3 linked regions of the Canis lupus familiaris genome follow. The protein of the gene in region 1 interacts with the protein of each later gene in a biochemical or structural test. Links are inferred from orthologs where the notes say so. Each region holds a gene or a part of one and is shown on either strand. Other genes may lie near its edges.

The links. The genes of interacting proteins can lie anywhere in the genome.
Region 2: of the proteins of MBP (region 1) and MAPK3, one has a biochemical effect on the other in vitro, tested with the Homo sapiens proteins (5 studies listed by BioGRID). The link is inferred for Canis lupus familiaris from reciprocal best matches to the Homo sapiens genes MBP and MAPK3.
Region 3: of the proteins of MBP (region 1) and CDK9, one has a biochemical effect on the other in vitro, tested with the Homo sapiens proteins (2 studies listed by BioGRID). The link is inferred for Canis lupus familiaris from reciprocal best matches to the Homo sapiens genes MBP and CDK9.

What each region holds. Positions count from the first base shown.
Region 1 is NC_049222.1:2,890,288-2,893,797, reverse strand, and holds part of MBP (myelin basic protein), read right to left. Parts: intron 1,827-3,510; coding exon 1,390-1,826; intron 1-1,389. UniProt on the Homo sapiens protein: The classic group of MBP isoforms (isoform 4-isoform 14) are with PLP the most abundant protein components of the myelin membrane in the CNS. They have a role in both its formation and stabilization.
Region 2 is NC_049227.1:18,278,800-18,282,952, reverse strand, and holds the start of MAPK3 (mitogen-activated protein kinase 3), read left to right. Parts: upstream 1-1,350; 5' UTR 1,351-1,364; coding exon 1,365-1,537; intron 1,538-2,551; coding exon 2,552-2,734; intron 2,735-4,153.
Region 3 is NC_049230.1:55,704,454-55,708,723, forward strand, and holds the start of CDK9 (cyclin-dependent kinase 9), read right to left. Parts: upstream 2,804-4,270; 5' UTR 2,736-2,803; coding exon 2,644-2,735; intron 2,185-2,643; coding exon 2,103-2,184; intron 1,302-2,102; coding exon 1,211-1,301; intron 865-1,210; coding exon 698-864; intron 576-697; coding exon 404-575; intron 247-403; coding exon 98-246; intron 1-97. UniProt on the Homo sapiens protein: Protein kinase involved in the regulation of transcription.

The DNA.
Region 1 (3,510 bases):
ATAGCCGTGCTCTGAAAAAGCACCTCGGACTGAAATCAACATTGGAAATAGGTCAGATGCCCAACATTTTGGGGTGACACAAGACTGCCCAAAAGGAAAAGCAAATGTCTACAAACACAGACACTGAAAGGACCAAGCAGAAGGTGAACGCTGTCAGCACTTAAGACGCGCCAAATGTTAGTCACGAGAAGGCATGACCAGTGACATGTGAGTGATGGCACCTGGGGGCAGATGCTGGGGACCTCACGACCAGCACCTGCGACATCCCCAGCTCCTGTGCCGCCATGTCCCCTAATTCCAACGTGGCAAAACTGCCTTTGTTTAAACACAAATCGCTCAACGATTTCACAATCAGCAGTAATTCTAAATTCTGTAGTTAGAGACTGAGCAAGTTTTAGAGACCCCTTTAGAAACCACAGGTCAGAAGCCTCTTTACATTCCCAAGACTTTCAGAGTCAGCATGATACGCACGCAGCCAGAGGAAAAGTGACAACTTAGGTGTTTTGTGAGCACAGCCAATAAACCCGGGCTTTCCCCAAAAGACCCTCTGCTTCCACAATGACCCAGCCAGGCAACACCCGGAAAAGGCATACAGCACTCTATGTGCTTGCTACGGCAAAGCCACTCGGGACTCAGCTCCCTGATGGGATGTCACCACAGATGCCCCATTCACACCGACTCCGGGAGCCACTGCTGGAAACTCGGGAACAATGGGAGCTTTTTCCCTTGCAATACAATTTTTATCTACAGAACATTTACATAATTACATAATGAGAGCTCACAGATTCTCTATTCAAATTAATGGAATAACAAAGTAATACAGTTTTGATTCATAGGCACTCTCAAGGATCCCTCCACCCCTTGCCCCTCAATAACTCAGATAAAAGACATATCTGCTCAAGGCGAATTTCAATCTTGAGTTTGTTCAAAAGTCCTCAATCGCATGATTGTTCCGAGACAACGCGAAGCTACAAGACAACGCGAAGCTAGCAGCGCTGACACCAAGAAAAGTGAGCACAATGCGACGTCGAACCCAAAAGCGCGGGCGCAGAAGCGAATCAGCCCCCAAGCCCCCAAGCGTGAGATGCCGGTGACCCGAGAACGCGGTGCCCGTGCCGGGCCCCCCTACGGATGCGGAATTCAGGATGTCCCGGCATCCCCTGTGAGGAGGGGAGAGAGGCTGAGCTGTGTGGAAATGCGGCAAAGCAGCAACCCGGCCCCCCGCCCCCCGCCCGCGCCTGTGGCCCGTGAGCGTCGCCAGCGAGGACAGACAGTAGCGGGACAGCATCCCCGCTGGGGCTTAGCTCACCTGCTCACTCTCCTTCCTTTTCCTTGTCAACTAAAGTGGACACACGTGGTGTGCGCCCCTAGTTACTCCTCAGAGCTCACCTTGCCTGAGCCCCGCTTGGGCACACCCCTGTCACCGCCAAAGAAGCGCCCGAGGGAGTCAAGGATGCCCGTGTCTCTGTGCCTCGGGAGGAAGCCATGCCTGGCGTGATCCATGGCGCTTGCTGAGGCCAGGTACTTGGATCCGTGCCTCTGGGAGGGTCTTTTCTGTGACGCCATCACATCCAGGCCCTCGGGAGTGGCTGCGCTGTCCTCTTGGATGGTCTGGAGCTCGTCTGACTCCGAGGGCCTGTCTTTGAAGGTGTTGTCCTCCCTCCCCGGGGCATCTCGGGAAAAGAGGCGGATCAAGTGGGGGCGGCCCCCTGGGTCAGCTGGGTTGGCGTCCTGCCAGGCATTCTTTGGGTCTGCTGTGCGCTTGGAGTCTGTCACCGCTGTGTCCTGAGAGGGGGTCCCATTGTTCTGCTCCACATCTGCCTCCCCTGCAAACAACAGTGAGATATGAACACGGGCCGTGCAAAGCAGAGTGAGGGACAATGCGGCTTTCTTCCAGGGCTGGGGACCTGCTTGTGTCCTACCAAACCCACAGAATGCATGCGCGCCCGGGGCCGTCAAGCTACCTGGTAGCCCCAGATCACTCGTGGTGGGACCCAACCTGGACTGAGCGTCCTACTTGCAGGTCTTGTCTCGGGGAACCCCAGGGGCTGCCTCAGTTACTCGACACCTGGTGCCCTAGATAAAGCGTACCCCAGCTTCCTGCTGAGGAGGCCCAAGCAGACACAGCAGTCACCCCTGGGCGCCGCCGCTGCTGCTGCTGGGCGTGGAGGGGCCAGGGCTGCAGGCGCCTCTGTGGGACATCGAATCCCTCCAACTCCACTGGTGCACAAGCTAAGCGTGTTGGGAGCAGTGGTTTGATCAAAGGTATTTTCAGTGTTCTCGATAAAAATGGAACTTCCCACATCTTTTTGCAATTCATGCCCTAAAGAAATGGGGCATTTAGAATCCTTGAGTTTCCAGATTCCACAAGAGGCCTCTTGCATTAGAGAATTGCTTATTCAGGGTATTTTAATTTGGCTTTTCTTCTGCAAGCAGCCCCAGTTACAAAGTGTGAAGTGGGAATGGCGTATTCTGTGAGCCATATGACCTTCTCCCAGCTTTCACACATGTACGGGAAAATACCGCATTTCCTTCCAGAATGGCAACACACCCATTTTGCTCTCAAGTTACAAGTTAGGTTTGAGGGTATGTCCACCCTACTTCACTCCCCCCTTCATTACATATCTATAGAAAATGTGGGTTTACTCATGCTTTCCTCTAATATCATCCATCCATCCATCCATCCATCCACCCAACCAGCACCAATCTGTTCACTGACATTTACCAGCAACAGCACCCACTTGCCCATTTATCTGCTGAGCCACCTACCTACCAATCCAGCTACTGATCCAGTCACTGACCTGTCCACCCAGCTAACCCTCCACCCAGTCAGCTGCACATCTTTCCACCTACCCACCCAATCACCCATCCATCTGCCCGCCCACCCACCCAGCCCCCCAACCATCCATCCACCTGCCCAACTACCCACTCACCCAGCTGTCCAATCATCTATCCACCCACCCCCAGCCAACCACCCACCCAACAGCCCAACCATCCATCCACCCACCCAACCATCCACTCACACACCCAACCACCAACTCAGCCACCCATCCATCCACCTGGCCACCCATTCATTATTTATGGAGCACTTAATAACCATCATATACTGAGCTAAATGTTTGGGCTGCAGTGATGAAAAAGATGTGGTCCTTGTCTCATAAACATTAATGGAAATGAATATTAGGAAATGAAGTATCCCCCAAAAAGGCAGGTCCCCATCCTAAGTCTCAGTCCCTGTGAATGTAAACTTATTTGGAAATAGGATCTTTTGTGGATATAATCCAGGTAAGATGAGGTCGTCCTGGCTGAGGGTGGGCCTAACCAAGTGACTGGCTGGTGTCTGTATAAAAAGAGGGAGATACAAAAGGGATATAAAAAGATACAGACGCAGACACACAGGGAAGGGACCTTGGGATGGTGGCAGGGACGGGAGTGACGTGGGAACACCCGAAGGTAAGAGACAGGGCACAGGTCCTCCCCTAGAGCTGGTGGCGAGAGCACAGCCCTGCT
Region 2 (4,153 bases), on another chromosome or scaffold:
GCACATAAGGATCTACTCTTAGCTTCTAAGGGATTATAAAACAAACAAACAAACAAAACCCAACGTGGTTACTTACTGAAGGCTAGGAGATGTGTTTTGTGAAGCGTCCAGCTCACAGCTTCTCTGTGAAGTGAGGGGAATGGACTGGATGGCCTCGGAGGGCCCTTTCCTGGGTTTTAACAGGCTCTGATTCTGGGAGATTGAATGGAATTGAAAAGAGCCTCTGCCTCTGTGTCAAAAGATATCATTTTAAGTCTCAACTCCCCATCCATACAATTTGATTTATCCAGTCAAAAATCTTTGAACGTCTGAGCGTCAGGTACAGGGGAGGATACAGTAATGAGCAAGACAGACATGGCCCCTGCTCATCCTGTTAAGAAAATCGGAGGACACCTATAATGTGCGGTTGTCCTATGGAAGAAACCCAGCTGGTCCAAGTATGGTGTAAACTACAAAATCTTGCATCCCATCAAAAGATGGTGATCCTGCCAGGATTCCAGTTTCACCAAGTCCAATGACAACAAAATCGTCACCTATTTTGCTGTTTTTTGAGAGAAGCCTGATAGTGTATTTTAACCAAACCTGGTCAACACTGCAGGCAGCTTTCCCGCCCTTCTGTTGCAGTTCCACCTAAATGGGCTGAGGTTATGGGTGCTCACTTCCAGCACTGTACTGTCGCTGGCAAGAGGCCAAGCCCCTAGTCCACTCTCGCAGGCCTGTCAGAAACCCATTAGGCTGAGTCTGGACCTGCGGGTTCTCGGTGGCTCCAAGTCACCAGCCTCGGCCCCTCATCTGTGAAAGGCAGGCCGTATCTGCGAAGAAGCCATCTCCCACGCTACTGGGAAATGCGGATGCGGCCGTGTGTCGTCGGGCCGAGCCTCGCTCGGAGGCCACACTCCAGAGGGCTGGGGAGGGCCCCCTTGGGGCTCCATCTCGAGCCCCGGGCCGCGACTCGGTTGGCAGCAGAGCTGGCGGGGCCAGGCGACTCGGTCCCGGCCCCAGCTCCCGCACCCGCTTGCTGGGTGGCTCCGGGAAGGTCACCTGGCGGCCCTGCCGGCTATAGCCTGCATTCGGCGGGAGGGGTGCACCGTCTCCCGGCCGCCGCGCTCGTCCCTACGGGCTGCCAGCAGCAGACGGAGCGGCCGGGCACCGGGGACCCGGGCAGCAGCCGAGGGCGCCCGGGAGCGCGCGGGGGTCACGTGGGGCGCGCGGGGGCGCGCGGGGGCGCGCGGGGGCGGGGCCTGGCGCACGCGGCTCAGCCGGCGGCGGGGCGCGGGGCGCGGGGCGCGGGGCGGGCGGGAAGGGGCGGGGCCTCGGGCGGGGCCGCCGGGGGGAGGCGGGGAGGCGGGAGGGGAGGAGTGGAGATGGCGGCGGCGGCGGCGGCTCAGGGGGGCGGGGGCGGGGAGCCCCGGGGAGCCGATGGGGTCGGCCCGGGGGTCTCGGGGGAGGTGGAGGTGGTGAAGGGGCAGCCGTTCGACGTGGGCCCGCGCTACACGGAGCTGCACTACATCGGCGAGGGCGCGTACGGCATGGTCAGGTGAGGGGGCGTTCCGGAGGAGGGGGCTCGTGGGGGGGCGCGCGCGAGGGTGAGTGCCCTCGGGCCGGGGCGCTCCCAGGGTCCCGAGGAGGCGGGGGCTTCACGAGGCCGGCGGGGCGTCCCACGGCGCGGCCCTGGGGTGCTCTGGGGGAGCGGCGCCGCCTACGTTCTAAGGGGAGGGGGCTTGGGAGGCCTCAGGAGCGACCATTCTGTAGTGAAGGGAGGGGCATCGGAGTGTCCGCGGGGGAGCCGTGGGGGGACCCTGGGGACTCTGTGGACGCGGGAGGAGGCGGAGACACGAAGTATTCTTGGGGAGGTGATATCAGTGAGGACCGAGTGAAGGACCCTACTCTGGGGAAAGGATGCCTTGGATTCTCCCAGTGAGGCCTGCCAAGGAGCTGGGGAGAGCAGAGCTCAGGGCTGGGCAGGGTGGGGCAGGGCTTTGGGCCTGGGGCCAGGAGCCCGGTGACCCATGAGGGGTCCAGGGGTGCGTTCTTGCAACTTTTAGAAGGGGTCTGTTAGCTCTCTCGTCCCCACTGTGTGCTCTGGGCCTTTGTTCATCTGGGAACAGCTCTCCTGCCCAGGTGCCTGACCCTAACACCTCATCCCTTCTTTCCCATCCCTCCTGACCGCCTCCTTCTCACTGTGCCTCACTGTGCGTCCTGCACTCACCTCCCACTCCCTGGACCTGTCTTGGGTTGAAGGAGCCCAGCCTGGAGAGGGGAGGATGAGAGGTCAGGGCAACTAGAATGGACAGGGCTGAGGAGAGGGGAAGTCAGTGAACGGTCAGTCTCTTCCTCTGTTTGTGAAGTCACCGAAGGGCTGCCTGGCTGGTCCCCAGCTTTCTCCCTGGAGATCCCAGGCCTTCACAGCAGGAAGGAACCAGCATTGTTTATGACTTGGCCAGAGTCCTCTCATGCTCCCTCCCCTCCCTGCTCAGGCCTGGGTAGGGCCACCAGGCCTGGACTCCCCCTATGTAAGGCCACACCAACAACATCTCTCTGACCCTCTCAGCTCAGCTTACGACCACGTGCGCAAGGTTCGCGTGGCCATCAAGAAAATCAGCCCCTTTGAGCATCAGACCTACTGCCAGCGCACACTGAGGGAGATCCAGATCTTGCTGCGCTTCCGCCATGAGAACGTCATTGGCATTCGGGACATTCTGCGGGCGCCCACCCTGGACGCCATGAGGGATGTGTATCCTTCACCTTGGCCAGATGGCTGGCTAGGCATAGCCTCAGAGCCGGGCTGGGAGAACGTTGGCTTTCTTTCTGTTTCCTTCTTTCCTGCCACACTCCAAAACAAACCCAGCAAATGAAACTTTCCAGCAGAAAAGAGACCACAGAGTGTAAGAGGACTGGGAGGCCTGAGGTGAATCCTGGCCTGCTGTAACCAGGCTGTGTGGCCTTGGGCAAGTCTGTGCTCCATGCTGTGCCTCATTTGGGGGGAGGGTGAGAGTTGGGCTCTATGGGAGCTTTGTCTTTTGACATCTGCATTTCTGTGACGTGACCCAGCCTCTGCCCACAGACAGTTCTTGTTTAACAGATGATGATTCTTTCCTCTCTGGGTCTGCAGACTGGAAGGAAGGCAGGAAGGAAGAAAACTGCCCGTTCTGAAGGGCCTACTATGAGTGAGGTGCAGTGCACGCCAAATGCTTTGACACTTCTTATTCTACCTCCCAGCTGCTGTATGAGATGGGTCTCATCAGCTCCATTTCAAAGATGAGAAAACTGAGGCTCAGAAAGCCCCAAATCAGGTGCTGCTGTTGCTGCCTCCTAACCTCCCCCAGATGAGAACTGTCCTTTCTCTGACATTTCCTGCTCAGAGCCTCACCCCAGTCACCTGTGGACTTGCACTTCGCCCAGGGAGGGACAGCCTTGTCTTTGTTGCCCTCCCCCCCCCACATTGCTTCCCTAGCTTGTCGTCCACTTCCTGTCAGGCCCTGTTGTTAGCAGCTTATAGCACCCATCACCTCTCCCCACCCTACCCACCCCCAGCCAGTCCCAGTTCTCCACCCAAATGTGGGGATTTGTGCTGCACTGTCTGCAGCCCCCACCACAAGCTGTGGGCAGGAAATCTCCACACTCGCCACTAGCTTGCTGTGTGACCTTAAGCAAGTCACTGCATCTTGCTGGGCCTCCTCACCTCTCAAACAGCATAATCGGCCCAGGTGTCTTCAGAAGGCTCTTTCAAGGCTGATTCTAAAAGACAGCCCTGACTTATTCTTTCAGAGAGCAACCAAATGGCATTTATTTATTTATTTATTTATTTACTTAACGTATGTTTAATCTTTGTTTTCTCTTAAAATACCAAAGGACATTTACTCTTCCATCTTCTGATGTATGGCCAGGCACTCTTTGAGGAGGAGCATGCTGTTGGGAGTTTCTCCTCATTTGTCTTGCCCAAACCATTCCCCATAAGGCAGGCATTTATTTTTAAGCAAACATTTATTGCATGCCAGATGGTGTTCACACTATCTCATTTAACCCTCTCAACAGCCATGTGGCTTAGGCATTTATCATAGCAACACTAGTTCATGTTTGCTGAGCACTTACAACATGCTAGGCTCTGGACTGGGCCGGCTGGTTTCCATGGGTCACCTCACTGAGTCTTCAT
Region 3 (4,270 bases), on another chromosome or scaffold:
TTCCTGCTATTTCACTCCCCACTCCTCCCTTGCCAGGAGGACTTCTGGATCTCTGCGTCCTGTGGGGACCAGGGGCCCAGGCAGCCTGGCCACGCACCTCAGGGGTGATGGAGCCACAGAGCTGGCTGATGAGGGCAAGCTGGTGTTGCTCGGTGTTGCCCTGCATGATAGGGCTGCGGGTCCACATCTCGGCCATGATGCACCCAGCACCCCACAGGTCAATGGGGGGGCCGTAGTCCCGCTCCCCTGGGAAGAAGAGCGCACCAGGAGGGCCCCTTGAGCCCGAGGGCCTCCTGAGACGCAATGCCCCAGGGCCGGCGGCTCAAGAAGCCCTGGCAGTGGGGGACTGAGGCCGGGTAAGTGCCCAGCCCCTGCCCCACTCCGCCCGCTCGGGAGTCCTCACCGAGCAACAGCTCCGGAGGCCGGTACCAGAGCGTCACCACACGGTTGGTATAGCGATTGGGCTGGCTGTTCTTGGCCAGGCTGAAGGCCCGGGCCAGCCCAAAGTCGGCCAGCTTCAGAACCCCATCGCGAGTGATGAGCACATTAGCTGCCTTCATGTCCCTGTGCAGGATCTGCAGGAAGCGCAAGAGGGCTCAATCAGGTTTCCAAGGGGAACCCTCAGTCGCACCCACCCAGCGGTGGGAGCCGAGGCCCACCCCAGCCCGGGTCTCTCTTACCCCATGCTGACCCCCACCTTGTTTCTGTGGATATAGTAGAGGCCGTTGAGCAACATCTGCATGACCTTCTTGATCTCAGACAGTGTGAACTTGACCAAGACATTGCTCAGCAGCCCAGCAAGATCGTGCTCGCAGAAGTCAAACACTAGGTATATACTGCCTTTGCAGCGGTTATAGGGGGAAGCTGGGAGGGAAGAATGGGGGAGGAGTAAGAAAAAGAAAGTAAAAAACCCCACGTGCAACTCATTTCCCCACACAGCTTCTACCCCTCCAGCCCGTGGACACTGGGATATTCGGCTGTGCCTTCCTTCACTGGAAAACTATTTCCTGAGTGCCTCCTCTGGGCTGGGTGCTGTGGCAGGCCCTCGAGGAGCAACAGCTACGATGGAAGGACCCAAGAGCAGTCACAGTCGGTTTGTCTGGGTTAAGAAGAGGCAATTTAGGTGTGTCCACTTCCAACTTTGCAAAGCCTTAGGCAGTAAGCCTCATTTTCCCCATCTGTAAAGGGGGGCAGGAGCCAAAGAACCTACCTTTGGTTCGACAGATCTCAATTAAGTTGACCACATTCTCGTGTTTCAGAAGCTGGAGGATCTTGATTTCCCGCAAAGCCGTAATGGGGAACTGGGTAGGAGAAAGGCAAGAGGGGGCCTGAGGTGAGCGAGTCAACTATAGACCAATGAACAGACCAATGAACAACCGTGTGGTCCAGATCAAGGGGCACAGGTGCAGCAAACGAGTAAGGTCCCGGGCTCTGACATCATTTCAGATGTCTTAGCTGTAAAATGGGTGTAAAAATAGTATGTGCCCCTCAATGAGTTGCTCTGAGACAATGAACTGAAACAGTGGGACTTAATACCTACACACTTCACTACTCGTCACTAAATAAATGTTCCACAGTTTCTTCAATATTTAAGTTTTAGCTCTATACCTGTATTTAACTTACTAGGTGGAAACAAACAGCTATTTAAGGAAATGTCCTTGCTAAGCAGGTCTCTGGGAAGCTGGACTAGGGCTACAATGAGGCAAGGGAGGGGACTGCTCCTTTTCAACTGAGTACCAGCCACTCCCTTAAAACCACCAAGTGGAATTTCTTTCCGCCTTATGCAAAATGAATGCTAAGGAAACCGTGTTTAAAGGCTTCCTAACTTCAGGAACTAAGGCACACTCTGCAGGCATGAGCTCCCCCTCCTGGCCCCAACCGTATTTACCTAAGAGTGGGATATCAAAAGCTCTAAAACATTTGAATTAAAAAATTCAATTTGGAAGCCAAATTCCCCGAATACGGAAATTGCCTAACTACCCCCCCCCCCCCAACACACAGACACACAGGTTCTCCAGACGAGAGCCCTAGCAGAAGCAGGGTGGAAACCCAACCCCGAGCCCAGGGGAGCTGGCAGGCCCGCCCACCCGGCCCATACTCACCCCCTCCTTCTCGTTCTCCATCAGCACTTTCTTCAGAGCCACCTTTTTGCCGGTCTTACGGTGCTTTGCCTTAAATACCTCCCTGCAGGCCGAGAGGGAGACCCAAGAGGTTTTATCAGGCCGTTTCTGCAGGGCCCGCCCCTCCCCCACCAGAGGAGGGGGGCAGAAAAAAGGGATTCCCCGGGCGGGGCTGGGCCGGGGACCCAGGGCACTGCCCTACCTTGCCACCCGCTATCTGCGGAGCTTCGAGCCTCTACTTCCTCCCCTCAGTCTCCTCACTCAGGCGTCTCTCGGAGAGCCCGCTCCCACCACTGGCTCCTCTCCGTAACCCCTCCCCGCCCCCCATCACAGGCCTCAGGCTCCTCCCCGCCAGCCGGCTCGGTCAGGCCCAGGCGGGCCGCAGCGCGGCCTAGCAAAACCAGGGGACACGTCTGGCGCTCATGGCCTTCCCGACCACCTCGGGCCCGGCCCTGGGCATCGTGACGTCGGATTTGAGCGGTGCAGGCCCAGAGCGCCTGGTCCCCCGGGGGCGCAGCCTTACCCGAAGGTGCCTTGGCCGATCTTAGCGAGCTTCTCATATTTGGACACCTCATCACAAAAGGGACACTCCACCGAGTCGTACTGCTTTGCCATGGCCGCCTCCAGCGCGCCGCCGCCGCCGCCCCCAGCCGCCGCCGCCGCCGCTGCTCCCGCTCCGGGTCCCGCCGCCGTGCTCCAGGCCCCTCCGCGGCCGCGCCACTTCCGCCTCCACGGCCACTTCCGGCCTCGCGGCGCCGACCCCGCCTCTTCCGTCCGCCGCCCGCCGCCAGGCCCCCTGGGACTTGTAGTTCCCGGGAGGCCAGGAGCAGCCGGAGCTGCAGAGGCGCCTCCGCCGCCGCCGCTGCCCCCGCCTCCGCCGCCGCCACTGTTGGCGGCTGCCCCGATCGGGGGCGCGGGGAGCCGGGGCGCCGGGGCTGGGGCTCGGGGCGGTGCGTCCCGCTGCATCGGCCCGGGCCGCCGCTGCTGCCGGAGCCGCTGCCGCTCTGGCGCCCGATCCGGGGCCAGCCGCAGTGCCCTGCTCCTCCTCCTCCGACGGCGCCGCCTCCGCCGGGCTGCGCGGGGCGGCGAGCGGGGGGGTGGCCCCCGAGCCGCGGCCTGGGGTCTCCCTGGCCGGGCCCGGGCCCGGGGCGGCCGGGCAAGGGGGCGAGATGGGAAGAGCCGACGAGGAGGTGGCCCGAGAGCCCGGGAGGGGGCGCGTTATAAAGGGGGAGGTGCCCTGGCCTCGCCCTCCCCTCCCCCTCCGCCCGCCCCCCTCCCTCCTCCCTCCCACCCTCCGCGGCCGCACCTGCCGCCGCCGCCGCCGCCGCCGCCGCCGCCGCCGCCGCCGCCGCCCGCTGTCCGCCGGCCGCCCTCGGCGCGTCACCGCCCGCGGCCCCTCCTCCGCCTTCGGAGGTGGGGCCCCGAGCTCGACACCTGGCTGCGGAGCGCTTTGTCGCGTGCCTCAGTTTACCCCCCCATGCTAGCTGCCGCGGAGAGCCCTCTCCCCGGCTCGGAGTGCCCCTCCGCTGGGAAAGGCGGGAGGCGCCGAGGGAGCGGCCTCCGGTCCTGGGAGGAGAGAACGGCCCCCGCCGCCGCCTCCCCAGGCCCCAGCCGCCCGCCGTTGACATGGCAACCGACGGCCGCTAGGGGGCGCGGCGACACTGGAGACGGCGAGCGAGCAACGCCCGGGCCTTCCTGCCCTGGACCCCCAATTTTCTGGGAGGAAGGGATGAGACCCGCGGGAGCCCTATGCCCACCCAGCTGCGTCCGAGCGGGTCAGTCCCGGGTCAGTAATCACAAAAATGGCTAGCATTTGCTCAGAACTCCTGTGTGTTCAGGAATCGCTGGGCATTCCTGCTGAATCCTGCTGAATCCTCAATCAGGCGCCCCATGGGCAGGTTAACTAGCCCATTTTACAGAAGAGGGCATTGAGGTTCAGAGTGGTGAGGTCATTTGCCCAAGGTCACAGAGTGACAGCGCTGTGACTGGAACCTGGTCTGTCTGATTCTTTTTTTTTTTTTTTTTTTTAAAGATTTTATTTATTTATGATAGTCACAGAGAGAGAGAGAGAGAGGCAGAGACATAGGCAGAGGGAGAAGCAGGCTCCATGCACCGGGAGCCTGACGTGGGATTCGATCCCGCGTCTCCAG